Struthio camelus: one gene and its partners. The protein of the gene in region 2 purifies or fractionates together with the protein of the main gene of each other region. This does not show direct contact. Links are inferred from orthologs where the notes say so. Each region holds a gene or a part of one and is shown on either strand. Other genes may lie near its edges.

Region 1 (6,863 bases), on a different chromosome or scaffold from region 2:
CTACCGTGTCCCGCTGTTTTCCTTGTGTACACAGAGGAATTACATTTCCATCTATCACCCCTTCACTCTGTTCCAAGAGACACCTTACCCTCACACTTTGTTTTCAGGTGCACAAAACATTAAAGTAATATCTTCTACAGTTCAGGCTGACAGGTTCTAGAAAACTTAAGGTTACCCTTTATTTCCAGCTTAAAAGAATCACTAAAGAAAAAGGAGGGAAGGGACAATAAAAAGCATAAAAAGTCACAAAACAAAAAGGGAAATCGTAAGGGAAAATAAGCATGAATAAAGTGGAGGCGATTAGCGAGCAGCAGAAAAGAGACCAAAGGGAGGTGAAAAGGCTACTTCTCACCCAGCTCCCACCTGTAGAGCACGAAGGTCGGCCACCTCTCCGGCACCCTCGCCCGCCCCACCACTAGGGAGGCCCCTCGGGCTGGTGGGGACGCGCCACGACCTAGCCCAGCGGCGGGTAGGGTAGGGCAGGGCAGGGCAGGGCAGGGCGAGGGCAGGGACCGGGGAGAGGCGCCCCACGGGTCAGAGAAGGGCGATCTCCTCAGGAGCTCCCTTCTCTGGCCCCCCTACCTGTCTCCTCAGAGCTGCCCATGGCGCGGTCGCGCGAGCGCCCGGTGACAGCACCTCACGCACCCTAACGGACCAGGGCCACTGCCCCGCCCCGGGTAATTTAAATAGCCCCTCTCTGTGTCCCGCGCGTTGATTGGGCCGTCTGTGCAGGAAGAGGCGGGGTCTCCCGCTGAAGGCCGTCGCGATTGGCTGCAGCTGGGAATGGTCCGCCCCGGGCCCGCCTCCGTTGGCGTTGCCGTTGCGGGTTGCCTAGCCGCTGGTTGCCGTGGAGACGGGGAGGGGGTGAGGCGCCTGGGCCTCAAAGCGACGCCGCATCGAGGATCACGTGGCCCGGACCTTGCTTCCCCCCCTTCCCCCCGCCCCGTGCCGCTTCCTTCCTGGCGCGCGGGGCTGTTGGTGGCGAGGCGCTGGCGGGGGTGGGGGTGTCTGCGGCCCGCGCGTTCGCGCATGCGTGGAGCCCGCGGCGCGAAGGGGGAGGGGGCGCTGCTCCGGCGCGAGGAGCCGCCGCCGCTTCCTTCCCTCAGCGTCGTCGCGGGCGGCGGGTGAAGGACGCCGGGCCGCGTCGGGGGAGCGCCTCGGTCGGCGAGGCAGGCTGGCGGCGTAAAATGGCGGTGTAATAAAAAAAAACTGCTTTTAACTCGGGCTCGGTTCCGCGGGCGGTTGGGGAGGGTTTGTTGAAGCGGTTCCGCCCTTAATCACCCTGAAGTGAGGTGATTTCTTCCCCCCCCCCCCCGATTTTCACAGAATGAGGAAGGAGGGCCGGCTATGGCAGGCGGGGTGGAGCAGGGGAAAATTCTAGCTCTTGACCTTGCAGGGCCGGCCTCGGGGTTGTTTGCTAAAAGGTGGAGGTGGTGGTTACGTTAGAAGGGTTAGTGTACAGTTTGTACAGTTGGGGAGTTTGGTTTAAATTAGCAGGTGGTGTAGGTCTGCTTGGGAGATGGCAGGTAATTTGATGACTTTCCTGGATGTTAGGAGTGCCAGAACCTTTATTAGAATTATGACTTAGAAGGTTTCGTCCTGTGAAATGTACTGTACAATTAGCTGCTAGTTTACAAGATTCTAGAGGCCTTTGATGGTGAAAATGTATTTTCTTCCTTACAAAGCACATGTGTACAGCGCTGCTTAGGGATTCTGGAGTTTCCATGTTGCCCCAGGTCTTGCAAAACTAGAAATAATGGTGCCTTAAACTCCTGGAGTACGTAGAAGCAGCTGAGATCTCAGTGATGACTGTAAGAACAAGGGTAGGCAAGTAAACACCAGGGGTAATGATGGCTTTAACGGTCCAAGGACAGATAATTGGTAGATACATAATCTTAACGCACGTTTATACCAGTTAATCTGATAAAAACAAAAGAGCTTTTGGGTATATAAAAACGGATGTCAATACTATTAATACTGAAACATGGATTTCAGTTTCATACATACACAGCTCTGCAAGCCTCTTTTACGTTGCATGTATTGGCTCAAAGAAAGACGGGAACAGAGGAAAATAAACAACATGTTTAACGTAAAAGGATGAAAGAAAAATGAGGAAGTTTTTTTCCCCCCAAAGAGGAAACTGAAGTTACTTGCAGTCTAAATGTGTGCAGCTGGCATGGAGACTATGAGAGGTTCTGAGGGCTATGTTTCTTTAGGTGAAATTGTGTGGATTTACGTAAAAAGTAACATGTATGAGGAAGAAACAGCTGTAGCTATACCTAAAAAAAAAAAGATAGGCCTAGCTTAGGTGTTGCTTTTGAGGGTCAGTCATGGAATCATCTACTACTGTTCCTTTAAAACCTTGCTCCAATCTTAGCAGCAATCAAAAAATGAAAAACAATCATTAGGAAATAATACAAGACAAAACAAAAACACCATCATGCTTTCATTATGTAAATCTATATGGGGGCCCAGATTTTGAATTCTATGTGGGTTTCTTGTCAATAAAGTGGCAAGGATTATCCAAAGTGCAGAATTGCTTTTAAAGGAGAAATAATTAGATTGCACCTCTGACTTGGAAAAGGAGTAACTGAGATTAATGTCCCGAAAGGGTATAGATAAGGTGGATAGGAAATTATTATTTACCATTTCTGACAATTCACTTTGCTAGTCCTCCCTTGTTCTTACCAGTCAATATGTTGAAAACAAAGGGAAGTACTTCTCAGGTAGTGTATAATTAAATTGTGAAACTGATTGTTACAGAATGCTTTAGAAGATAAGAGCATAAAGAGAGGAAAAATGTGAAACATAACTGTCAAAAACAGTTACGTTATTTTTGTTTCCGAAAAGTCTTAAACCACAAATTGCTAGAAGGTGGGAGTAGCCTATAAAGGCAGGGTGTTGTTACAGCGTTTTTTCCTTACGTTGTTTTTGTTTGCTATTGGCCGCTGCCTGAAAGAGATGGTCTGGCAATACAGTGCTTATGTTTATGTGTCAAGCCTCATCTTGTATGTGCTTAAAGCCACAGGTAGCAAGACATTCAAGTTATTCCTCAAGCTAACAAAGCAGGGTAGATAAGCAACCCTAGTAACTTCAGGTGTTTGACATTTATTACACCTGTGCTTTCCAAACAGCAGTGTCCTTTGGTGCACTGGTGCACTCCTCGTGACCTTTAATTTGCTTTACTAGACCTGGTGTGGAATTTGAAAAGATAAAAATAGCACCTGTTTCCAATCACATGGATTTTAATATTAATGAAAGTGCCCAGGCAATGGATAACAATCTAAAATTACTGCTTAAGCAGTATTTTATCTATCTGCTGTTCTAATTATTTGTGGCCAGCGGGTTAACTTCGAGAGGACCCGTGCATCCAACCCCTTCAGTCTATTTGAAATCCTGGGAATGCCTGTGGCTGAAATACTGCTTTTAGTCCCCAGAGATAAAAACTCCTTTATGGCTCGGTCCAGTCCTGTGCATGTGCAGAGGAAGGTCACTACTTAGCCACTTACTGATGTCTTACGGTGTCAGATGTACTAGCTGTCCATAGGTAAAACATCTGGGGGGGGGGGAGGAGGGGATCGCGCTTCCTGTCGGGCCAAAGCAGCTCCGGGCCCCTGCCGCGGGTCGGGCGGGCGCCGCTAGGCCGCGGCCCCCCGCTACTGCGCAAGCGCGGCGGCTCGCGCCCTTCTCTGCGTGGGCACTGGGAGGGGCAGACACTCCCGCTGCCGCCGCCGCTGCCGGGCAGTGACGACACAGAGGCCACGCCCACAAGGGGAGGGGGACTTCCGCCCGCGCGCGCAGAAGCCGGTCAGTCGGCCGAGCCGCGGCCACGCCCACAAGGGGAGGGGCCGGAGGCTCCGGCCAGCTCGGGCCGCTTACATAAAACAAGGGGCGGGTTCTGCGCCTGCGTCACCAACCGGCTCCCAGCAGCCTCCGCGGCACCCCTTATATAACCGGCATCCGGGCAGCGGGGCGCTCTACATTCAGTGGCCCCCACCATCGGCGTCGGATCTCGCCGTACCTTTCGTCACCCTCTTTAGTGACCGGAACCGTCTCGCCACCATCGCTTCCATCGCCATGCCCGGGTATTCCAGCGACAGGGATAGAGGGTGAGTCCGGGGGCCCGGCTGGCGCCAGCCGCCGCCAGCGTCCGGACTCTTAAACCGCCTATGGGGGTTTTGACTGCTGCTTTTTTTTTTTTTTAAGCCGTCTAAAATGGCGGCGAGGCGTGGGGGTTGGGCCCTGGAGCCCTTCTTCTCAGCTCTTGCCGTCTTCAGAACTCCGGAGTTTCGTGACGAGAGCCGGGGGGGGGGGGAGGGGGGAAACGCCTTTAGGCCCTTTCGGCGCCGCCAAGGGCAGCCACCGCGTGTGGGCGGCCGCGTAATCCAGGGCGGGGGCTGAGTCCGTCCGCCTCCGCGCAGCCCCTGGCCGCTTGTTAGGGGTGCGGGCGGGGGAAGGGGGATCGAGCCCTCTCTCGGGACACCCCCCTGAGTACGGATGGCCCTTGCAGAGCTCGATTCCTGTCCTTCCACACCCCCCTGCCAACCCCCCGCCTCGGCCGCGGGGGCGGACTGAGCAGTGGCGGGCTGGCTGGAGGTTTGTGGGTCAGTGGGTTGGCCGGGCGCTTCGTCGATGCCGGAGAAGCCTTGGGGGAGCTCTCGGTAGGGCGGGTCCCTTCTCTCCCTTCCCCCCTTCGCCGGCTCTGGCTGTTGCTGGCAGAAGCCGGCCGGCTCCCGCTTTGTGTTGTGTAAGCGGATGTTAATGGCCGGCCCCGCCATGCGGTGACTGAGGGGAAATCAAAATGCCGGCTGCTGCTGCTGCCTTTGTTCCTCCTCCTCCTCCCCCCGCCCAGCTCAGACTCTAAAATGGCAGCGGCTGGAAAATGTGGCGTAGACAGAAATGAGAGACAAAGGAAACAGCGCTGGCAGGAAGCAGCGGCCACTCAGCCGGGTCCCCTCTGGGAGCGCTGTGTTGTGTTGGGGAGGATCGCTCCCAGCGCCTGCCCAGCCAGGAGTGGGGTGCAGTCGGGGCGGGGGAGGGAGCGCCCCGCTCGGGTCCGGGGTGGTGGTCCTCGGGGCGCGGGTTCGCTTCGCTTAGATCCGTCAGGGTAGGCTTCTGAGACGAACCCCTTCTGAACGAAAGGGGATAACGCGTAAAACGCGTGGCCTCGTGAGAACGTCGTTACTGAGAGGAGCCAGCCCTTTGGGATACCAAAACAACCGTTTACGGGGAAGTTGTGCCGAGCTTTTGTAACTGCCTCTGCTTGCTTTCTGCAGGCTGACACACAAGGGGAGTGTCGCTCGTGTGGGAAACTATTTTGATCGTGGGGGTTGTGCAGGTGTTTTAATGTTCTTGCTGTTTTGTAGGTTGTTAATAAGTCTCGGTTTCATTTTGTGGAAACTGCAAGGTAATGTGTTACCTTAGTTTCTGAGCATGAGTTATAACTAGGCAGATCATGGCATCTGCAGCTTGGTATGTTTTTGGAGTTTTATTATGATGTATGTGAGACTTATGAAACTGAATTGTCAAGTTGCATGTTTGGTTGTAAGGATAATGATCAAGTTGTATATGAAAGAGAGTTACTCTCAGGTTTTGTATTATGGTGTATTCTTCTCTAGGTTTGGAGCCCCCCGTTTTGGAGGAAGTAGAGGTGGACCTCTGTCTGGAAAGAAATTTGGAAACCCTGGGGAGAAGCTTACGAAAAAGAAATGGAATTTAGATGAGCTGCCCAAATTTGAAAAGAACTTCTATCAAGAACATCCTGATGTAGTTAGACGTACTGTGGTATGTACCCTATCCAACTTGTGTGAAAGTAAATAAATAAAGTACAAACATGCTGAGGGTCATGGGACAAGGATGAGGTAACTTATAGGATAACTTTGGTATCAAAGCTTATTTCTAACTATGGGGTTTTTGTCTTGCAGCAAGAGGTTGAACAGTACAGATCAAGCAAAGAAGTCACAGTTAGGGGCCATAACTGTCCAAAACCAATTATAAACTTCTATGAAGCTAACTTTCCTGGTAAGTGCACAATAGGGTACTCATAGACTTCATCTTAATCAAGCCTGGAAAAACTTAAGTTAATAAGTTCTAATTTTCTCTTCAAGCAAATGTTATGGAAGTGATTCAGAGGCAGAACTTCACTGAACCAACTGCTATTCAAGCACAAGGATGGCCCGTTGCCTTGAGTGGACTGGATATGGTTGGAGTAGCGCAGACTGGATCAGGGAAAACACTGTCTGTAAGTTCTTGTTTGTAACTTGGAATACTGCTGAAATTCAGCAGTGACAGTTTTGCCTGGCTTAATGCAGTCTGAACACCTCTGGGAAGAGACTGTAATGAGACTTTTTTTTCCCCTCCCTTTTCAAACAGTACTTGTTGCCTGCCATTGTGCATATAAATCATCAACCATTCCTAGAGCGAGGAGATGGACCTATAGTGAGTATTCCTAAATGAAAGGGGTTCTTAATTTTAAAAGAATGCGGATTTGTTACAGTCCGTTTTGTCCACGCTTATGTGAGTACAAAGTGCTTTCATATACCATAGCAACATTGTATTTCTCGTCACAGATCAGTGATTTTATGTTTCAGTAGTAGTAGTCTCCCAAGATTGTTCCATAAGCTCAGATTTATTTATTTTACTTCAAAATCCTCCAGAACAGGACTAGATGTCCTGTTTTGGAAATAAACATCCCCTGGAAACTGGTGGCTTCCAAATACGTGACCTAACCACACAGCATGGGCGAGTGTCTGGTGGTAGTTGAGATACTGGTTTCCTTAGCTTTCTTGTTCTGTCTGTTCAGATAAATCCATTTTACTTGTGTTCTGGTGATAGCATAGTTGTATACAATGATCTTTCCAGTC
Region 2 (7,290 bases):
CGCTTACAACTTTCAGAAACTACCAGCTAAGGCCAAATGAGATCCCATGATAAAAGTTCAAGGCCTTGCATTCCTCCTCTTATTGCTTTCCTGAGCCGATTCTCATTTTAATCAGACTTACGGTACTTTCATCCAGTTATCTCAAAGTACATAACAGCCACTATAATTACTGGCAATAATGAGCTAATTAATTCTTCTCAGTGCAATTTTCAAGGGATAAATGCTACCTTTCTCAGGGCAAGGATGGAGAAACTGAGGCAAGGAGGAGATGTTGGGTTTGCCTTCTTTTTAACTGTTCAGTCCTTTCCTGCTTGTTCATATAGGCATATGTATTTGCTTCTTAGTGTGCTTTATGTTTTATTATGATTTTCCAGTAACAATGCATGTTATTATTTTGACAGGGAGCACTTAGAAGCAGCTGGTTGTGTGCATATGTATTGAGGTTCATTAAAGAAGACCTCAGTGTATTTAGCAAAAATCAATAGGTGCTGAAATCTTTTTCCTGTTTTTTCCTTGACCCTCTCTTCCTAGGTTTTCCTTTTTTTTTTCCTCCTTTTCTCTTTAGAGTGGCTTTCTTTCTCAGAAACCGCAAGTAGCATCTCATCCTGCTACTTTTTAATTTATATTCCTCATATTTCAGCTTACGTTTAAGTCTCTAATGTGGAAAGCCAACTGAATATGACTTCCTGATATATAAAGAATTAAGGTATTCTTCTGGTCGTGGAACTAGTAAGGCAGATGTATTGTATTAATATATCAGTTAATTACTTACATTCATAGCTCATATTAAGGATATAGATGTTGTTTGGGTAGCATTCAGCAAAGGGTGTGTGTTTTCCACGGTTCAGATAGGCTAGATGCTACCTTCACTGAACTCACTCCAAGGATAAATAGATAGATAGCCAGAGCAGAAGGGAAGGTGCACAAAAAAGGTTTTATTTTGTTTTTCTTTTTCAGCTTTCACTGTTACTTAGCTAAACAACTAACTGATCCACATGATACCCTCTGGAGTAACAACTCACTACTCAGTCCTTTAACTTTTATTTCTCAGGTTGTGATCCTGCAAGCACACATGTGCTTGGTTTTACTATGGTGAGTAGTACAGTGAGATTTCAGTGGAACTATGTGCTAAATAAAACTAAGCACACATGCAACTATTGGTAGGATCAAGTCTCTAGATAGGAACTAGTGTCACAAAACTTTTATTTGAAACATCTGCTTTGCTCCAAGCTTGTTGTTTAGTAAGGACCAGACTTTTAAAAGTATTTAGGTGTTTATGTGCACCTTGGTGTCTTTATAAAGCTGGCACTAATTCCTTATTGAAGTACGCATTAAGGGCCTCTAGAGAGTCTGAAAACCTTATATAGACTGATTTGAGTCAACTTTTAATTCTAAGGAGACTTTAAAAACAGTTAAAATTAATCTCAGCTGTGTTTAAAAAAAAAAGCGCTTCGCAAGCAAGGGAAAGAGTCAATCTGGCGAAATAAATTGAGGTAATACAAGACTTCTGTAACTCTGAAATATTTCTGAGAGCGTTAGTAGCCATAACAGGTGGAAAACCTGTGAGAACCGTGCGTAGTTTCTAAGGTGAGGCTGTTACTTAGTCGTTCTTGCAAGGCACCCTCCAGCTCTCTTCTCAAACGGACAGATTTGCGCCCCTGCCTATGTCTCCGAGACTTTTCGCCGAGGAGAAGACACGCAGAACCTTTCGGAGCAGCTTGAGCGTAACCCGCTTCGCGTTTTTTCCCCTTTTGTGCCGGGGGGGAAGACAACAACCACAACCACCTTGCCCGAAATAAAGCCGAAACAAGGGAAACTCAAGCGTGGGAGTGAGTATGTGCGCGGGAAGCTGGTGGGTAACTGTTAGAGGGCTGCGAATCTCTACTCCTTCCTTCTCGCCCTCTCCTCTCCTGTGGTGTTTATGCTGTTGCTTGTAATAGGCTCTTGCCCAAACACCTGGTACAGGTCTTACAGGCAGAATGGCAGAAAACTCAATTCTGAGTGTGGGTGGTAAGAAAAAAAAAAAAAGGGGGGGAGAGGGGGAAGGACTGAGCACTCCCTGCCTTAAAGGCCTCCCGAATCTTGCACAGCGAGGAACAAGACGAGGGGATAAAACAACCTCTAACCTCCTCCCCAGTTCGTGTATTTTAGGAAAAAAAAAAAACACAAAAATCGCAAAAAAGAAGTCAGCGTTCGGGAGGCGAAGGGGAATCGGTTCGCAGGAGCTGATGCGCAGGGCGCTGGTTCCTCCCAAACGGCCCACCCCGCTCACATGAAATCGCGGTTTTTCCCATTAAAAACATAGGCAGGCCTGCCTCCCCTTCCCGTTCTTGTCGCAGAAGGGTGTAAAACCGGGGCGGGGGGGGGGGGAAGCCCAAACACCCCCCCCAAACAAAAAAAAAGGCTAGGAAGGGGTATTTCCTCGCTAATGATGGCTGATGAGGGCTTAAAGACTTGAGAAACTCCTGGCCAGCCCGTAATCCCCACTAAGCTCTAAAATGGCTCGGCGACGGTTATCGAGGAGCGCGTCAACGTTACCTACCACTGCCCACAGCCCAGGAGCGGCCTCGCACCGAGCCCCAGGGGAGCCGGCGCCCTTTCAGGCCGCTCCTTCACCCCCCCCCACCCCCCGTTTCCTTTCATCTAGGCATCGCTTTTGGCCAGAAACTCCGGTTTTATGTGATGTTGACGTAGCTCCGGTCACTGGGGGGGGGAGGGGGGAAGTTTATTGAAAAAGGGAGAACAGGTATCTTGGGGATTCACTGCTCGCCAGGCCCCTTTTTTGCGGGGCAGACTCGGCGAGAAGAGGCCTGGCAGGGCCGCCCTGCCACAGCCGGCCGGCCTGCCCCGAGCCGCCGCCGCCGCCGCCGCGCACTTTTTGGCCGACACAAAACAGGGGCGGGGGAAGGAGGAAGATAGAAGAAGCTTCCTCCTTCCTTCCTCCCCCCCTTCCCTTAACGCGTTGCCTTTAAGGGGCGGAGTGAAGGGAGTTTGCGGAAGCGCCCGGCGAATAGCGGGCGCTGATAGGCTGGCCGCGGTCTCGTGACGGGCCGCCGCCGCTCCGGGGTTCCCCCTCCCTCCCGCAGCACGCAAGCCCCCCGCGTTCCATTGTGTGCGCCAGCGCCGCCGGGCCCCGCCCCCAAGCCTGGCCCCGCCCCCTTTTCTCTCTCTCCCTCCCCCCCCCCTTTGGCTCATTTCCGGCCGCCGCCACCGCTGCTCGCTTCCCCTCTGAGGACTCGGGAGAGTGAAGAAACAACAGCCGCCATTTTGTTTGTGTGTGAGCGACTGAGGGAGGGAGCGAGAGACCGAGCCGGACGGGGCGAGCCAGGGGGAGGGCAGCGCAGAGAGACCCAGGGGCCCGGCCAGGGGACGGGGAGAGAAGAGAGAAGCTGAGACGCCCGCCCGGCCTCCCCCCCCCCTCCGCTAGCCTGCCCCTCCTCTCTCTTTATCTCTTTTTCTTTCCTCCCCCCTCCTTTTTTTTTTTTTATTTTTTAAGATTTCTTTCCCCTTTCCTCTCTGCCTTTCCTTCTCCCTTGCGCCCCCCGCTTCTGCCCGCCCCGCCGCACACGCCACAGGAGCGGCCGCCGCCGAGCGCCAGGCAGGGGCAGTAGGGAGCCTGCGCTCGGCCCCCGCGCTCCCAGCGCCGTCCCGCCCCAGCCCCCCCCCCCCGCCGCCGGGGAGCGCCGAGGACCCCCTCCCCCTCCCGGGGCGAGCCCCCCGCCCTCCCCCAGCCCCGGTTTTCTTTTATTATTTTAATTTTAATCTCTCTCTCTCGCTGACCGGCTTCTTCCCCCTCTCTTCCCCGCCCTCCTCCCCCCCCCTCACCTACCAAGCTCTTCGCTTCCTTCCCCACCCTCGCAGCGGCCGGGAGGGAGTCCCCGCCGCGCCCCGGCAGCGGACGAGGCTTTTTCGCCCTCGCTTTTGCGCCCGCCGCCCCCTGCCTCCGCGGCAGCCCCCTCCCTGCCCGGAGCCAGCGCTCGCCACCATCCTCAGGCACCCGGGAGGGGGGAAGGTAGGCAGAGGGGGGGGAGGGGCCGGCTGCTGCTCCTGCTGCCTCCTCCTCCTCCTCCTCCTGCTCCTGCCGCCGCTGTTGCTGCTGCTGTGGGATCGGCCCCCTCTGCCTGCGCTGGAGGGGGGGGCACCCTGCTACTGAGAGCGAGAGAAAGAGGAAGGGGAAAGAAGAGAAGAAGGGAGGGGGGGCAGAGAGGGTGTTGAAACCCGCCCCCCACCTTCCCATCCCGCGATCGGTGCTGCCTCCATCAGGACAACAACCCCGCCTTCTTCCCTGCACAACAAGATGTGAAGCGGAGACTCCTGGGACTTATCCTCACCCTCCTCATCCTTACAGCTCCCCTTTCTGCAGCCATTAGTGACTGGCGAGGAAGAAGCGAGGGGAGCTGGGGACCCCGCGCACGCTCGGCCTCTTTCGCCTCCTCCTCCCCCCCAGCCCTGTCGCTGGCGGTGGGTATTTTTTTGCAGGGTGGTGTTGGAGGGGGAAGGAGCCGCTGCTAGAGGACGGTGATCTTTTTTTCTTTTTTCCTCCTCCTCTCCCCTCCTTCGCCCGCCTCCTTGTGGCGATGAGGAGGAGGAGGACGGCGCCGAGGAGGAAGAGGCTGATGACGGCGGTGAGGAGGCAGCAAGAGGAGGAGACCCCCCGAAGGATGAAGATGATGATGGTGGCGGCGGCGCGGAAGCAACAGCAGCACAACAGCCGGGATTAATTTTACTAAAAACCCACCAGCCTCTTTCTCCCCCCCCCCTCCTTTTTTTCTTTTTTTTTTTTTTTTGGCGGGGGCTTTACCAGCTCTTCCCATCTTCGCTCTGCCCTTTCGCCTGGGGGAAGAGGCCTCTTCCCCTCGCTGCTCCCCACCTTCTCCCCGCTTCTCCGCTGCCGCCCTCCCGGAGCCCGAGCCCGAGGGGCAGAAAAAGGGGAACTTGGCCCCCTCCTCCGGCAGATCCTTCTCGCTCGCTCTCGTCGTTATTGTTGTTCTTCAGCTGACTCGGGGCCTGGGAAGAAGGTGAAGGTTTTGCCCCCCCCCTCCCCCGGTCTCTTTACTCTGAGTGATTGTCTAAAAAAGAATTAAAAATGGCCGAGAATGTGGTGGAGCCGGGCCCGCCTTCAGCCAAGCGGCCTAAACTCTCCTCACCGGCGCTCTCCGTGTCCGCCAGCGACGGCACAGGTCAGTCTCGGGGGCCCGGGCTCTCAGCCTCTTGGTGCCACAAATTACTGCCCTTTTCTCTCCTCTCTTGCCTAAATCGCCTCCTCCCTTTTGCTTCTTTAACTTGTTCCTTCCTTTCTCCTCTCTGTCTGTGATTTCTCCCTTTTTCTTTCTTTTTGCTCTTATTTGTGTTAATGCCGTAGGAGGAGGGTGTTCGGCTATTTCAGCCCTTTTATTTTTTGGAAGTGATTGAAAGCAAAGCTGTTCAGTTTATTGTGCTTTTGATCAGTCACAGATAAGAATTAACAGTTTGTCATTTTCTTGTCTTTCATAATAGTAATTATTTCAGAGCTCCTCGTTAAGCATATGCATTTAATTCCAGTTGCAGAAATATGAAATATTGCTTACAATGATGCTTTTGTACACTTTATTGTCGATTTCTGTGTGTATGTTTGCATATACACACACACACAAATACATGCCTGTTTCTTATTTTATTTTGCCTGTATGTACGGTGTTTTTATAACTCGTTTAGAAACATGAGATTTATTTCTCTATTCTTTTTCTTTTACCCTCTTAACAGGCACTCCGGTTATTTGATTTACTTTTTACAATCCTTCTTACTCTTCCTTGCACAAGGATTTCTAAAAAAAAAAAAAAAAAACCTGTTTTTTATTTCAAATAGACTATCGATTTAAGGAAAAAAACAACAACTAAAAACAAAATCCAGATTGCAAGTTTGGGGCTTAAGGCTTATCAAGAGCCTTAGCATTGTAGAAACAAAATATTATTTCACCTTATTTGCATTAAGAACCAATATGGAGTGCAATTCATTCTGCATCTCCCATTTCTTTGCTGCGAGAGCAAAATGTCTGAAATTCCCCTGTAGACTTATGGGTTGGGAAGATAAAGGGGCTTCTCTGCAATCCTGCAAAGATCTTTGGTGATGTTTTAGTAGGGAGGAATAATCTGCTCTGTGGAAACTCCAGAGTTGCTGTGGAGTCAAGCTAGAGGCTGGAAGTCTCCGGTGTCCCCATCCCTAGCAAACATGAACTGGTTGTACTGGGAAGGGAGAGGGAGGTAACAAAGGGCTGCTCTGCTTTTTAATGCTTCTTGTGAAGCAGATGAGCATTTAGTGTCATTTTGCTCTGAAAGTACTTGGTTACCTATCCCACAGGAGTTTCCTTAAACTCACTTTAGATCATCTTAGCCTATGGGAGTTGGAGGAGGCTGCCTTCTGCAGAATCTGATGAGAGATGGCGTTCCTGGTGCCACCAGTCTTAGTCACTGCAGTTAGATCTGTGAAGAAAAGGAAGAGTTAAAAAAAAAAAAAGCTGATCGTTTGACAGTAAACAGGAGGTTTAAATACCCAGTTTTTGGCTCAGCACGGGGTGTGATTCCAGTTTGAATCATCTTAAAAATTTTGATTTTTGCCTTCTCTTTATTCTTGGTGAATGACACATTAGTTTTAAAAAAAAAAAAGTTTATGTGTAACTTTCAGAGCATTTTAGTTATAGGCAGTTTTGTGTTGTAACTGGAGCAGATGACTAGTCTTGATATCAACAGGTCTCTGGTAAGAGAGTAGGAGAGGGTTGGAGGAGCTCTTCAGCTACAGCTAGTTGTGGAGGTTTTTTTACACTAGACTTGGAAAGCAGTACTTAATTCAGTAGTAATCGTTTTCATTCTTTCTCTTGACAGGGTTGGCCTTGCTCTGTGTAGGTGGCTAAATAAAAGATGGGTTTTGTGAGAGAAGCCCTGATGCTTGAAAGTAGGAAAGTTGGAGGGTTGTTAGATGAATACAAGTATCAAAGTTAAGGCATTTGCGATCAGATAAGATTTGTGTAAAGTGGATTTATTTCAGTGTAAGAGGTGCAGATTTTCTCAGAATATTTAGTTTCTTTTAATTGTTAGTCTACTGGACAGTTTAATTGGCGATCTTTTTATATTTATGGTGAAACACACTAGGGATTATTGGACAAATTCAAAGGAATTCAGATATGACATTGTAGTGTGCAAAACGGGATACATTTTTTTGAAGTTGTTGAGATTGTCATCACCTGCTGGCTATCCAGAGGTTTTTAATGGTGCAAATATTTCATGTATGTTACAAAGAACTGTTGAAGGGTTCTCA
Region 3 (7,276 bases), on a different chromosome or scaffold from region 2:
AGCCCGCACCGGGGTCCCCGCTGCCGGCTGCTCCCGGGCGGGCAGTCGCCGCCGTCCCCCTGCCCCGTCCCCGGCAGCAGGTCGCAGGTGGAGCGCGCCAGGCCCTGATGACATCGCATCGGCGCGCTGATGTCACGGGGCTGCGGGGAGGCGTCCCTCAGCCCTGTGCTCCCCTCCCCTTCTCCGTGGGGGGGAACCGGCACAACGGAGCGTCTCCCCCCTCCGCAGCATATGACATCATCACACGTGTGACATCATCACACGTGTTAGGACATCACATCACGGCACTGGGACCCGCTCGTAGGGCGAGGATACCTTCTGGTGGCAGAGGGCCTCCGGGCACCCCGGGGTCCCTCCCCTGCACCGCCGGGTGCAGAGATGCCCGTGACAGTCTCCGTGTTGGGGACAAGCTGGTAGCACCAGGGCAGGTTGGGGACACGTCCCCCCCGCGTGTCTGGCACTGCACAGGGGTCAGCGTATGATGGGGCAGGAGAGCGGGGGGAGCCCCAGCGCCCACTGGGGCTGCAAGGTGCTGGGCACCCATTGAGCTCCCGTGTCCCCACGAGCCCAGGCGGGGACGGCCACGTCCTGTGCCCGCTGCCCTGGGTTGGGGCACCACCAAGGAGCCACCGCCGGGGACATCGGGGCAGCTTCAGCTGCCCCAGGGTCAGAGCAAGGGAGCCCCTGGCACCCCTGGGATCAGGGGAGCCCCCTGCACCCCCCTGGGACCACGGGAGCACCTAGCACTCCTGGCACCAGGGGACCCGCAGCACCTGCTGGCACCAGGGGATTCCTGGCACCCCCCTGCCTGGGAGCACCCCGGCGAGCCCCCGGCACCCTCCCAGCACCCACCTGGGAGACCTGGCACCCCCCGACCCACGCACCAGCACCCCTCTCAGCCCCTGAGGGCTGCTGCTGCTGTGCCCGCTGCCGGCCCGGCTGCGCCCGTGCTGTGCCGCCCGCGCCCGCTGCTGCGCCTGCGGGGCGAACGCGCTCTCTGCTCTGCTCTCTCACTCTCCACCAGGCCAGTAGCTTCCAAACCCTCCTGCGGCAGCAGGCCCGGCTGGAGATCCTGGCTAGAAGGGTCACCTTGCTGGAAGCCATCATCTGGCCAGGTAACAGCGCCGCTTTCCGTCTCCCCTCCTCGCATGAGCTGGGCTCGCCGCGTCCCCCTGGGAGCTTGGGCTGCCTGGCGCAAGGGAGGCCGGAGCCCCTCGGACCACGTCCCTGGAGCTCACCGGGAGTAAGGGAGCCTCCAGAGCCCCTCTCGGAGCAAGTGAGACCATGGAGACCTTCAATCCAAGAGGCCAAGTGAGACCCTGGAGCTTCCCAAGGACTAAGGGAGGCCCTGGAGCTCCTCTCAAAACAAGGGTGACCCTGGAGACCTCCTGGATCAAGGGAGACCTTGGAGCTCCCCAAGGACTAAAGGAGGCCCTGGAGCTCCTCTTGAACGAAGGAAGACCAGGGGGACCCTCTCAGATCAAGGGAGACCTTGGAGCCCCTTGGACCAAGGGAGCCCTTGGAGAATCTCTTGAACCAAGTGAGACCATGGAGACCTCTTGGATCGAGGGAGACCCTGGAGCTCCCCGAGGACCAAGGGAACCTCTGGAGCCCCTCTCAAACCAAAGGGGACCAGGGGGACCCTCTTGGATTGAAGGAGACCCCAGAGACTCCCCTGGGACCAGGGGAGCCCCCGGTGCCCGGCCCCGCTCGGTGCCAGGGTGCCAGCTGTGTGCTGGCGGGTGCCCCCCTCTGCCTTTCTCTTCTCTCCGCCTCCACTTTCCAGCTCTGCTTTTTTGCGGGGAGGGGGCTCTTTTCTTTCCGCATGCCAGGCGGGGGGTGCCAGCCGGGTGCCAGGCAGGGGTGCCAGGCAGGGGTGCCAGCTGGGCATGGCAGCTACCATGAGCCGGGTCCCAAAACGACTCTCCTTGTCCCCCCCGCCACCCACCTGCTGGGCCGGTCACCCCGGAGCGAAGCCCACCGCGGGCGCGGGGCTCTGGTGCCAGGCGGGCTGGTGGCCGTCCCGTGTCCCTGTGAGCGGGGCTGTGCCTGGCCTGGGGGCAGCTCACCCGCCGGGGGGCCGGGGACATCGCCGGCGGGGGCACCGCGGGGCGCCTGGCACGCGCCCGCAGCGCCGTGGGGGACAAAGCCAGCCCCGGCGTCGTGTGCCCCCTGCCCTGCTCCGTGCGTGGGGACTCGCTCGTCCCCAGCGCGGTGCCAGGCTGACACGGAGGGCGGCCGGGCTCCTGGTGCTCAGCACCCGCGAGGCGATGAGGAGAAACCCCGGCGAGCTCGGCGGCCCCCATCCAGCCCCCTGGACCACGGGCCTGGCCCGCGGTGGCAGGCGATGGGCCGGGGGGGGACCAGAGACCCGGGGCGATGGGCACAGGGGGACCAGAGACCCGGGGCGATGGGCACAGCTGCCCTGGCATCCCATCTCACCCCAGCACGGCCCAAAAACCTCACGATGGGGAGGGGGTCCAGCCGACCCCCTGGCCCGGCCGTCGTGGCTGCGCGGCCGGTGGCGGGGGGGGGCGGGGGGGTGCGACAGAGCCCGTTCCCGGGGTGCCAGGGGGTCCCGCGGGGGGTCAGGGCTTGCACCTGCGCCGGACCGCCGCCTCACGCCTCTCTCCTCTCTCCTCCGCAGAACCGGAGCCTGGCTCGGGCAGCGGCCCCGGGGGTCCTGCGGCGCCCGGCTCCCCCCGCCACAAGCGCAGCCGCCCGCCCACCTACCGCATCGTGGCCCGCGAGCCCCCCGCTGGCGCCCAGTGACGGCCCCCAGCGACGGCCCCCAGCGACGGCGGGCCCGTACCGGCAGGGAGGCGTCGGGCTCCGGCGGGCGCCCTGCAGCCCGCCCCGTCTCGTCCTGCGCCCCGCCGCCCGGCAGGGCGTTTTGGTGCTAGCCGGCGGGACGCTGCCGCCCCGCGGTCCCCCTCCCCGGCCCGTGTCCCCGTGCCCCCCGCTGCCCCCCCGCGCGCTTCAGCCCAGCCGCTTTGGGAACGACCCGCGTCGCCAGGTCATTAAACGCCTCCCTGAAGCCCGTGTCCGGCGCAGTCCGTGCGCGTGTCCCCCCCCGGGGGCCGGCCCCCCCCCGGGAAGAGCTGAACACCGGGCACCCCCCGGCTGAGAGCCCCCGGTACCAGCCTCAAAACCCCCCCGGTACCGGCCTCAAAACCCCCCCGGTACCGGCCTCACAGACCCCCCTGGTACCGGCCTCGCCGCCCCCCGGGTACCAGCCTCACAGTCCCCCCCGGTACCGGCCTCACTGCCCCCCCCAGTACCGGCCTCGCCGCCCCCCCTGGTACCAGCCTCACAGACCCCCCTGGTACCGGCCTCGCCACCCCCCCCCGTACCGGCCTCGCAGCCCCCCCGGTACCGGCCTCACAGACCCCCCCCAGTACCGGCCTCACTGCCCCCCCCCCAGTACCGGCCTCGCCGCCCCCCCCCGGTACCAGCCTCACAGACCCCCCTGGTACCGGCCTCGCTGCCCCCCCAGTACCTGCCGGTGCAGCCACATGGCCACAGCCGCCGGGGGCAGGGGGTGGCCGCGGCCCCCATCGGGGCGCCCGCCCCGGTACCGGCACCCCGGGGTGCCCCCGGCTCCCGCCACACTCGTGGGGGAGGCAATGGGTGGGGGTTGCGTGCCCCAGGGGCAGGCGGGGGGGAAGGGGGGTCGGGGGGCCCCACGGGGGGGCATCCTGCCCACGCGTGGCCCCAGGCCTAGCCTGAGCCGGGCCCCCTTCCCCACTGCGTGACGTTGTGCCTGATCTGTGGCCTCAAAGGATGACGTCACGCCGTGCGACAGGTGACCTCACGCGCAATGCCACGCGGCAGCTGCTCCGCCTGTGGCAGCTGCGCCGTGACATCCCCCCGCCACCCCCCAACACCGCGCGTGACGCCGCGCGATGACGCCACGCCGCGGCCTCGCTTGCTGGCGCCCGCTACGTGACGTCAGGCGGTGGTGACGCCTGGCCGCCGCGTGACGTCAGGCGGCGGCGCCGGCAGCGCCGCGGCCCCGCGCTGCGCCCCGCGGCCGAGGCGCCTCTTGCGCGACGCTCCCCAGCCGCGGCGGGCCGAACCACTGCTCCGGCCGGGAGGGGGGGCGCGCGGGGCAGCGCGAGGACAGCGGCGTCCCCAGCGGCGCCCGCCGGCCCGGAGGCCGGTACCGGCTTTCGGCCACACCGAGACAGAGCCCGGATCCCGGCGGCGGGGCAGCTGCCCCTCGCCGCGGCGGCCGCCGGGCCGCTCCCCCCCTCCCCGCGCGGGCGCCTTGGTGCGGCCCGCGGTGGGAGGGGCGGCGCCTGCGCGGCGCGGGGCGGCGGCGGCTGCAGCAGCCGGACGTTGGGAGCGCCGAGGAGGAAGGCGAGAAAATGGCGTCGACGGGTGAGCGGAACCGGGCCGGGCCGCGGGGCCTCCCCCTTCCCCCGCCCCGCCGCGAGCCCGAGCCGCGCCGTTCCCGGGCCGCCGCCGCCTCCGCGCCGGGGCGGCCCCGCCGGGCAGCGGCGCGTGTCCGGGCCCGCCGGCTCCCGCCGCCGCTTCGGTGCCGTTGAGGCGCGTTTGAGCGCTCGGCGCGCCGGGGACACAATGGCGGCGCCGGCGCGGTCCCGCCCGGCGGAGCTGGGGGCCGCCGCGGCCTGAGCCGCGCGCTCGGGCCCGGGGGTCGCGGCGGGCGGGGCGAGCCCGGCCTTGAGTTCAACCCCGCGGCCGAGGCCTGGCCGGGCTCGCCCCGCGCCGCCGGCCCCTTCGGTTCGGTTCGGTTGGCCGCGGCCGGGCCGAGCTTCCCCCCAGCAGCCCGTGGCGCGCAGGGGTCCTCGCTGCTGTCAGTGGTGACTCATCAGAAAGCCGTAACTCTCCGGGGCTTCGCTCTGATGGGAATACTTTGATTTTTTTTTTTTGGTCAGTTTATTTTAAAAAAAAAAAAAAAGCTTATGATAGCGTATTGCTAGAGCTTCCACCCTAGAAAAAGCGCAGTAAGATGCTTTGGCTCACGCCCTTCCAAAAAATCGCTCTCTTTATTGAAGGTTTCCCCCATGCCTTCGTTTTTTTGGGTTTTTTTTTCCCTAAGGGCTATTCAAGGCTGTTTGTTGGTGCCACTGTGATTCCTTTGAAGGAAATCAGTGAAGCGTTGTGGAGGAAAACATAACTTTCACGTGAGGGCCGCAAATGGGTGTAAATAGGTCAGCATTCAGACTTATCAACGGTGGCGGCATCATGTTTAATGTAGAGTTAAAGCCCGATGCAGAAGATTGGATCGTCCCACAGGAGAAAATGTCATATACCAAGGAGTGTAAAGGAGAATGACTAATATCGCTTTGGAGAGCAGGGGAAAAAAGTTACTAAAGAAACATGTGCCGTAGCATTGTCAAAATGGGGTTTAAAAATACAGCTGTCTTTCCGCTTAATAAATGGAAATGTTCATTTGTGGGAGCTACTATTTTAAGGCTGCGCTATTGTGCTCCTGAGCCTCGTGAAATATAAGTATGAGGATTAATTTCCCATTGGAAATAAGGGCTCGGAGATATTTTTAAAAAATTAACCATAATATTTTTTTTGAACGCTTTGCACCAATCTGTGTTCTAGCAAATTGGAAGAGAAGAAGACAAATTGCAAATTAAACTTACTCACCTGGATTTAAATCTAGCTAAGGGAGGAATGGAGTATCTCGGTATGCCTGCGTGAAGGCTGTAAAAGGGGATATGAGTGTGCGAAGGAGGCTTTGACTGGCGACTGTGTGCATAGCTGAAGATCCAAGCCCGGGGTGGTGGTAGGTTGCCGGTGGTCAGTGGGCCAGGGGTGAAGGCTGGGGAGATGGGTGCCCGGCAGTCAGCCCTGCTGGAGGGGATGAAGCTGGAGCTATAGATGTGAACAGCCTGAAGGATGACAGCAGCCCAGAGTGGAGCAGGAAATGGGAATTCAATGAGAGCTAGGGAGGTTTTGACGGATGGGGGAGCGAAGAGGAGGTGAGGTTGGGAAAAGAGGGGGGAGTGAGGACGTTGTACAGCAAGATGCAGGAAAGAATGGAGGAGCGCTGAGAGATAGGAGGAGGCAGTGAGAGATGGAAGAAGCTCAACTGGATGAGGGGGAATTGGTGATGGTATTTAATGCTCCACATTTTGCGGAGCTGGTAGTCACGCGTAGACTGAAAAAAGAGGCAAGGCCCTGAGTTTAGCAAGCTGGACTTTTAAAATCTTAAACCTGACAACATATAAGGAAAGCGGGAGTAGTGCTGAAACAGTCTAACAACGTATGTGGCGCATTTCAGGATTTTGGAAGCCTTTGAGTAGCAGCTGAGCATCTTTTTATTGTGTTTTGACCAGTGTGCAGTGGTTTACATCTGTCAAAAACTACTACCAAAGTTATGGCATCTCCTTTCTTAATACGTTTCCATCAACACATGCCCTAGAGCCTGAGCTCCAGCCTCAATAGAGAGAAGTGAAAGGGAGGAAAAGCCGTATGTTCACGCAGAAGGGTTAGGAAGAAGAGTGGAAAGCTGTATTATGGACGAGTCTGTGGCCTCAAGAAACGGGAACCTTTGGTGCATGAAGGTGTATGACAGCAGAAAACTATTCAAAATGTTTTCTCGTGCTTTGTCAACTTCAGTTGCAAACAGCTGGAGTCATAATGGGATTAAGGCACTCTCTATAATCTGAGGATAACTGATGTCTGTAGAGTCTTCAGCCAGATTCCTTAAATTCATGCGCTTCAGGTTTTTACCAAAGATTAGCTTACCCTAAGTACTATGGCAGCAGAAACACCTAAACCTCTTTCTGTTTGGCTCTGTATAAGAAAAGGTATAATAGCATTTTGTTTCTGTCTGCTTCCAGTTCAGTCAAGTGCAGTGGCCCAAGTGGCAAATTGGAAGTCGGAACTCTTTCCTGATCTCCCTACTCTGCTGATGGGCCTCTTCTGATTCTGGAAGAGTTTGAATTTGTCTGGGAAGGTTTGGGCTAAGCGATGAACTCGTCGCTACCGTTTGCTCTAGACGTTTGGGAGGAAACTGAAATGCTTTGCAATATGAGGGAAAGCGTACATTTAGGAGCTGTAATCATTTCAAATATAGCCTTGTAATTGCCATGCTGGATGCATTTTCCATCCCTTGCAGCTAACTGGTTAAGTGTAGATTTTTTTGCTTGCGTTTTCTGAATTTCAGTTTTCCTCTGAATCAGGCTGTTGCCATAGATCAGGGCTTTGGGGAAGGAATTATTGCCAGCTGCCTGTCTTGAACTTTGATATGGGGAGAGTGTTAGAACTTTCCAGCAATTTGTTTTTGTCCTTG
Region 4 (7,567 bases), about 15 Mb from region 2:
TCTTCAATTGTTGCTCCCTTGGCTTTGCAGTGGTTCAGCTTTTCGGTGAAACCACTTGCTGCTTTATTGGTCTCCTCCCTATCTGCCCAGCACTGACAACTTTTTCCTTTCAAAAGGAGAAATGGAAATAGAAGACTGAGTACGAGAGAAGATGTTACAGCAAAGATAAACAATTTTTCATTTTCCTCATTGGTTTTGTCCCTTTACAGTTGGTGCATGCTCTGAACACGCCTGATCCCTGCCCTCCAGTCAGAGGGAAAGGCTCCTAGGGTTTAACTTGCAGGTAGACGTGCACGGATTAGGGACAAAAGTCTTCCCGGAAGAGTAAATCTTCTTGGGATGCTGACATGCAGGTGATGATTAAAGTGATCTTACATCTGACCTCACCTGTCAGGGAAAGGAAAAAAGGTACAAATCCCACTATGAGGCATATAATTGGACTCAGAGCTAAACCTCCCATTCCTCCTCCTATCCAGCTTTCCTGCTAAACCTCTGTCATTTATCTTCTCTTGCTGCTGCCTCAAATTCCTCTTCACGCTCTTCCCAGTACCTCTACAGCCCATTTCCAGGTCTAATCCCATTTCCCTCTCCTCACACACACAAGTATACTATCATGCACACCCAACAGAAGAGCTTCTGTGGCCCAGCCCTCACCTTCCCTAGACCTATGTTAAAAGAACTTATACGAAACTAGAAACCGTATGGCCACCTGCTGTGAAAGACTGATAATAGGCAGGACTACTTGACTTCAAACACACACTGTTCCATTACTTGTGAAATATGATTACATCTGCTCTTTATCTTTCATCTGGTTACTCAGTGATAATTGACTGCTCAAGGCTGGCACTCAATTTTAATTATCCCCCCAGTGAAAACACAGCGACAGGCTCTGCAATTGCTCTCATATCTGCACACAGCATCCGTAACGCAGTATCCTTCCACAAAGAGTAAATCCTTTTTTTTCGCCATAAATTAGCTGTACAAATTACTAAGGTATATTTCTCCAAAGAAAAACTTTGTTAACAGAGATAAAGATGCCTACAGATCAAAATGAATGTTTTAAATCTGCAATATATTAGAATAGCTTAGATTCAAAGTCCTCTAACAAATGGCTGCCCTGTTGCCTTCTCTAGTGGCACAGGTAAATTTCCATTTCCCTGTTTAGCACAATTCATTTCAGAGAACTAAGCATCTAGTAACTTCCTTAGTACTGTGTCAACAAAGTGGCTACACAGAAGCTGAAATAAGCATCAACATGTCATCTCACTACCATCCAGAATTGCTAATACACTAATAGATATGTAAGGAGCTCCACTTAGTGGCAAGAGAAGACATTTTCAACAACAGTGTCTAGCATGGGCGGAAGACATCTCTGAAATGTAAATATGTATACTAAACACTCTCTACTTAATTCAATCTCTGCGTGACTCATTTTAATCAAAGCACTAGAATCGTGACCTTTCACTAGGATAGCTTTATTCATGTTCAGTAACAATTTCTGAGAAAATTCAATCACTGGCTGTGGAAAGATGTTGTTTAATCAAGCAGACACTCTGAATTATAAATGATAAGTGAAAGCGAGTTTTGCCCAGGTGCTTTATAATCTATGACTGACATACTTGTTATTCTGTTCAGTAATGGGGATTAATCTGTATAATTACAAGATCCTGATTACTTCCTGAATGAAGTTGGGGTTGATGAATATTTACTTTAGATAACTCCCCAAGACAGTTATTTGGATAATAAATAGATAAATAAACATGAAACTTTGAATAAAAATTTTTTTGCAATTTTTTTTTTTTTTGCTTTGTAACACTATTCGATATATAATCCCCTTGGCTGAAAAAAATCAAAAACCCTCAATATTTTTATTTCCTGCTTGCTAGGCTTTCTTTCATTAGTAAGTAACTCCTTCTCCTACCTTTGCTTCTTTTTCTCTATTCTTTTTTGAAAAACTGAATGACTGTTTCACAGTTCCCAGCTTCTCTAACCATCTCCTTAGTAGAAGTAGTCTCGCTTGGGTGTACAGAATTAGTGCATCTCTAAATTAAAGATTTTCAAACTGAGGGGAATAAGCACATCTAAATAGGGATTTTACTAGGTAGCTAAGAGGAAGGCAATGGTGGGGGTGAAGCCAAAGCGAATATAGCTAAGGCCAAAGGCTGTCAGGCTCCGTCAGAGGAAAATGACCGCTCCAAGCACAAGCAGAGAAAGCACAGCTGATAGGCATGACTAAATTAGGATATTTTTCCTCAGCAAGAGCCTCCAACAGTGCTGGATTGGTTCAGCATTTCCTCTTGTTCCTGCTCAGAGCATATTCTGCCTTTTCCCTTCTCACTTTGCTCCTGTTCCTGCTTGAAACGCTTCCTCCTGGACACATTCTCTCATTCCAGTTGCAGTGGCACCATGGCAGTATGTTTCTCCTTCCTCAAATCCAAACACGATCCGTGGTAGTATTTTCCCCTCCTCATGCTCAGCTTGAGAAATGTGGTATAAAAAATTCTGTATTGGAATTGGGATAGAGATACAGAATGTACCCTGGAAGACAGGAAGGAAAAAGTGCGAGACCGCTGCTGAATAAACTCGCTTACTAAAGTATGCCATGCAAGGTATAACCTGAGTTAGGCCTAGGGTAAACTCTGGAGATTTTTAATTATTATGCTACGGGTATTATTAGGTCTAGGTATTAAAGTCTTGATTTAAGAAAACATGTAAATACCTTTCTTTTCACTATTATTTCCATATGTCCTTAATCATGTTTCCCAGAGATAATAAAGGTGCTTCCCACAACTGTACCTTTAAAAGTAATATCCTTCTATATCACTATTAAATCTGGACTCTAAAGGTTAAGAGACAAGGAAATTCCCATACCTGAGATCTTTAAGGTATAGATCTTGTCCAGCTATGTGGCCATGTTTCACGTTTTTGATAGTTTTCCTTATGTTGATGTCTCTCCCACTTTAACCATATTGATAATTTATTTTTTGCTTATTTAAGCTCCCTGTGTTTTAGTAGTTTTGTCCACTTGCTGGTCTAAACAGCTAAACAATGTCAATATCATATCTAATAGCAGCTGCACAGCACTCTGAAGTTTGTATACAACTCTCTAGTTTTTTGATTACATGAAAATTTGAAATCCTTAGAAGGAAATGAAACTATAAAATGCAAGCTGTATTTTTACTGTAGTAGGAATGGAAATATCTTCAGTGTGGAAGGCAAAAGCCAGTTACTTTCTGGAAGCCACTATCTGGTACAGTATAGAGCATCCAGTGGTTGGAAAGAAGGCAAAAGAGTGTGGTTGGGACCTATAGGGAAGCACAAGGCTGTGGTTTACCTGGGAATCAATCAAGTACCTAATGCTGTAATTAGGTACTGTAAATACAGGCACCATGTGGGATCAGTGCTTATGTGATCATCTACGTGTTTATACTAAGTGCATGGACCAACTGATTTATAACTTTTATAAAACTGAGCAGTAGTTGATAGCATACAATCAATATACAGGTTTCTATCCGATAAAACAAAATTTCCTCAGAATGAAACAGCAGTTAACAGCATGGTGCCTAAGTTCTGCCTAAGTCCTGCATTAGGTGTCAAAAATCCCTGTTTAGGGATTTGGCTTTAGTGACACCCATCATGTTCCCTACTAGAATGTTCACGTTCCTGCAGCGTATGGAAAACTTCACACATAGTATTAACTAATTTTCTGTTTTTAGGATTTTAAGAATGTAGTCATAGGTTTGTTGGGTCTAGTAAGATTTTCAGTTCAGATTGGATATTATTGGTTTCACATCTCAATTGTTTATCTCCTTTTTTGATTTGCATCTGCCTTCATCGAACTGCAAACATTTTTGCCTTATCTGTCTCTTACAAGTATCTCTCTACCTGGATATCATACTGTTGCTTTGTGTAGGACAAAAAACACACTCCAATTTTACAGAAGACTAAATTAATCCAAGCAACAAAATTATTAAAAAGAAACTGCCCTAAGCACATGTCAGGATCCTCAATACTGAGTTTTAAGTAGGTAAGTGTTTTCTTAATGTTCTTTTGTATCTTTACTGACAGTTGGCTAACCCCTTCACTGAAAAATTTATATAGTAAGTTACCAGAACAGTGTTTTTTAAAATATAAATCCAAGCAGAATAGCTAACTAGGAGACATACTTCTACATTTATATTAGCCTTTGAAAAACCTAATTAAATGAAATTTAGCTACTCAAAATTTTAATATTCAAGAGCCCTGTAAGCTTTTTGCTTACAGTAAATGAAGTAAAAAAAAAGTAAGTAAATAAAGTAAGTTAAAAAGTACATTTAAATATGCTGCTCTAGGCAGAATGTGGCTTATTAGCAATTCCTTGTGAGAACTCAGGAAAGTTGAAACATCAGGAGGTCAGAAAGCAAAATGCAGTGCCTATCCTGAGCTGAAACATCAGGAGGTCAGAAAATGAAACACGCTCCCTATCCTTTAAAGAGAAACAGCAGAAGACTGGAGTTATGTCAGCTTCACCTACCTGCTGACAATTTAAACGTTACTCCCAGTTTTAACACTTAAAAAGGGAGATGAATGACAGCCTATGCGCTCCTGTCAAGAAGGGGTACAGTGCCGTACTAGTCTAAGTTTTCAGTCTGTTGACAGAGTGTTTTCAGATAAGGCTGGCAGGCTCCTTCAGCTTCAGGTAACATCTTCAGACGCTTCTTGGGGAAACAATCCCATCAGCGTGGCCGCCTTGCATTTTATGCAAGGCCAGACGGGCGCTGCGGGGTATTCTGGGCTCCCCATTTTCCGCGTCTCCCCACCTCTTCCTCTGCACGCAAGGCCTACGCGGCCCTGCAGCCGGCCGTGCTGGGATCGAGACCAACCGCAAAACACTGCGTTTCTTTTTGGCAGCGTTGATTTGCTGCTGCTGCAGGAGCCCGAGCGGAGCGGAGGAGCACCAGCGGCGGCACAGAGGAGTAACTGTAAGGGGATAAAGGCCGCAGGCAGCCCCCCTCCCCTCAGGGCGGGCTCGCCGCGCCTGCGCAACGGACCGCCGCCCGCCCCCCGCACTGCCGCTTCCGGCTCCGCACCCGCCCGCCGACGTAGTTTCCGGCCTGAAGCGTTTCCGCTGCGTCATTTCCCCCGCCGCCCCGGTCGCCGTTTCCTGCCCGGCCGGAGGGGGCTCGTGTCCCTGCGCGCGCGCGCCCCGCCCCCACCCACCTTTCCAGCCGCCCGCGCCCCCAACCGCCGCTCCGCGCCCCCAACCGCCGCCGCCGCCGCAGCCATGGCGATGAGGCAGACCCCGCTGACGTGCTCGGGGCACACGCGGCCCGTGGTGGACCTGGCCTTCAGCGGCATCACCCCTTACGGCTACTTCCTCATCAGCGCCTGCAAGGGTGAGGCCCGGCGGGGGCGAGGGTGGGAGCGGGGGCGGCGGGGAGCGCCGCCAGGGGCGGCGGCGGCCCCTTTGTTCATCCTCGGCGGCGGGCAGGTGAGGTGGGGGTGGTCCCTCGCCCCTGGAAGGGGTGGGTGTGTGTGTTGGTGGTGGTGGGGGGGCGCTACTTAGGGAAGCGGGAGCGCGGGCAGGAGGCCGCCTTAGGTGAGCCGAGCGGCCGGTATTAGCGGCGGATGGTCGGGCTGGGGTGCCCGGGTCACCTAGCGAGACGCTGGCGGTCTCACGATAATACCCGGTTTCAGCGTTATCGAGTGAGAAAGAGCCTTGACAGCTGGCAGTGGCGTTGCCAGTTTAACCTGTGCGCTTTGAGAGTTTATTCGGTTCGGGTCGAAACTGTAAAAATTAAAAAAAAAAAAAAAAGAAAAAAAAAAGTGAAACTTCTTACAAAATTTTGTTTCCGAACTAGCCTGTTTTTACCTTCTGCACACGTGTATTGTACATCTTAAATTGAAGTTTCTTTTTTTAAATCACGGTGGCTGTCAGGGTGGATGTAGAATGGTGATGCCACTTTCCTTTAGCATGAGAACTTTCCTCTGCTCATTATGAGAATAGTATTTTGACTTCATACATGTGAATATTAATCTATGTATGTATTCATGATCTCCCTCCCAGCGTTGGAGTGCTTCCTAGTCAGATTTATTTCTTCTCCTGGGTGCAACTTTTTTTTATAGCCTCCCAGAAAAAAATAACCATAAGAAAGATTTTCTAATTCCATTTCATTTTCTCTCTATATTTTGAACATATAAACATAAGACTCCTTTTTGGGCAATGCTAGTCTGAAAATTTTTTTCTAAAAACAAAAGAGCTCTTCTGCCTGTAGAGGAAAACTGGAGTAAAACCAAAGCTAAATGCTCCTTTCTCCTTCTTTATCCCTTTTCTTCCTTGAAAACCCAAAGAAGTTTTATATTTACTTTGCAATAGTATTTTAAGGTCTGTATAGAATTCTAGATGTTCATGGTAGGTGCGGCTGCATATCTAAGCTCTTTAGCTAAACTCTTTTTCAAAAAATAGCATCATAAAAATACATGCTATTTCCCTGAAGGGAGATGTCTGGTGGCAATTTCTTTTTTATTCCATGTTGGTGTAAAGGAGTCTTCTTAAAGGTAGTATCGTTTTGTTTGATAACATTATCTGAATATTGGTTTTGTTTCTGTGAAGATGGTAAGCCTATGCTACGTCAGGGCGACACAGGAGACTGGATTGGAACGTTTCTAGGTCATAAAGGTGCTGTTTGGGGTGCTACTTTGAACAAGGATGCCACTAAAGCAGCTACAGCAGCAGCTGATTTTACAGCGTAAGTGATTATCTGCTTTTGAAGTCTCACTCTGTTTTGATTTTTCAGTCAATGATATTTTTAGTGACATAGTTGTTATAAGTTATTGATATATCTGTTCAGTAAATTATTAAGCTCGTTTATGAATAGCTAAATTAAGATCTAGAACTCTAGACTGTTGAAAGTATAGCTACAGTTAATTTTTTTTGGATAACTTTGATTGCTTCTTGATCACAACACTTAATTACCATAGTAGTCTGCCGGAATAACGTTTTATTTCCAGCTCTAATCTTTAGCATGGTAGAGTGCTAAAATCAGAGTTGAAAGAGTGATTTTTGTTTTGCTCCTCCTAGTTATCACTTTTTATTACTTGTTTTCTGTTGCTTATAGCTGGGGCAAATAAGCTCAGTGATACCAACGTTTTCATAGCATCGTAGAATTCATAATAGCCACCATTTCAAGGTTTAAGAATATATCAAGAATTCTAGAAAACTATTGCAGAAATTTATTTATTTATTTTCTTTACTGTCTGTAGTGTGTATTAACGTTTGGTAATTCGAATCCTGTTAGTAGAGGGCACTTTATATGAAGTCACAGAGGACAGCTGCACTTGTTTATCTGTAAAACTGAAATAATAATAATTCTGCATTATCTTGAAGAGGGGAAATTAAAATAGCAGGATAGTGCAAAAAAAACATTAATAAAAGCATATAAAGTATTCTTACTGGCTAACTGGGTTATTACTTATCAGAATGTAGTACTTAGGACAAAGTTGTTTACAAGCTGATCTGACTTCCAGGTTGATTTGTCTCAGTGCTACAAAATTTAAATGTTTTCTCTTGTCATTTAGCAAAGTATGG

What was found.
Region 1: the proteins of EP300 (region 2) and DDX5 purify together in Homo sapiens (affinity purification with western blotting; 5 studies listed by BioGRID and IntAct, with this or other methods). This does not show direct contact. The link is inferred for Struthio camelus from reciprocal best matches to the Homo sapiens genes EP300 and DDX5.
Region 3: the proteins of EP300 (region 2) and EWSR1 purify together in Homo sapiens (affinity purification with mass spectrometry; 3 studies listed by BioGRID and IntAct, with this or other methods). This does not show direct contact. The link is inferred for Struthio camelus from reciprocal best matches to the Homo sapiens genes EP300 and EWSR1.
Region 4: the proteins of EP300 (region 2) and STRAP purify together in Homo sapiens (affinity purification with mass spectrometry; 3 studies listed by BioGRID, with this or other methods). This does not show direct contact. The link is inferred for Struthio camelus from reciprocal best matches to the Homo sapiens genes EP300 and STRAP.

What each region holds. Positions count from the first base shown.
Region 1 is NC_090960.1:4,672,155-4,679,017, forward strand, and holds the start of DDX5 (probable ATP-dependent RNA helicase DDX5), read left to right. Parts: upstream 1-3,843; 5' UTR 3,844-4,077; coding exon 4,078-4,109; intron 4,110-5,618; coding exon 5,619-5,784; intron 5,785-5,924; coding exon 5,925-6,021; intron 6,022-6,107; coding exon 6,108-6,241; intron 6,242-6,372; coding exon 6,373-6,438; intron 6,439-6,863. Other genes in the region: CEP95 (centrosomal protein of 95 kDa), read right to left, coding at 583-604. UniProt on the Homo sapiens protein: Involved in the alternative regulation of pre-mRNA splicing; its RNA helicase activity is necessary for increasing tau exon 10 inclusion and occurs in a RBM4-dependent manner. Binds to the tau pre-mRNA in the stem-loop region downstream of exon 10.
Region 2 is NC_090942.1:57,018,538-57,025,827, reverse strand, and holds the start of EP300 (histone acetyltransferase p300), read left to right. Parts: upstream 1-4,287; 5' UTR 4,288-5,086; coding exon 5,087-5,180; intron 5,181-7,290. UniProt on the Homo sapiens protein: Functions as a histone acetyltransferase and regulates transcription via chromatin remodeling. Acetylates all four core histones in nucleosomes. Histone acetylation gives an epigenetic tag for transcriptional activation.
Region 3 is NC_090958.1:5,247,547-5,254,822, reverse strand, and holds the start of EWSR1 (RNA-binding protein EWS), read left to right. Parts: upstream 1-4,271; 5' UTR 4,272-4,370; coding exon 4,371-4,383; intron 4,384-7,276. Other genes in the region: EMID1 (EMI domain-containing protein 1), read left to right, coding at 2,648-2,772. UniProt on the Homo sapiens protein: Binds to ssRNA containing the consensus sequence 5'-AGGUAA-3'. Might normally function as a transcriptional repressor. EWS-fusion-proteins (EFPS) may play a role in the tumorigenic process.
Region 4 is NC_090942.1:71,984,238-71,991,804, forward strand, and holds the start of STRAP (serine-threonine kinase receptor-associated protein), read left to right. Parts: upstream 1-4,561; 5' UTR 4,562-4,576; coding exon 4,577-5,375; intron 5,376-6,592; coding exon 6,593-6,728; intron 6,729-7,557; coding exon 7,558-7,567. UniProt on the Homo sapiens protein: The SMN complex catalyzes the assembly of small nuclear ribonucleoproteins (snRNPs), the building blocks of the spliceosome, and thereby plays an important role in the splicing of cellular pre-mRNAs.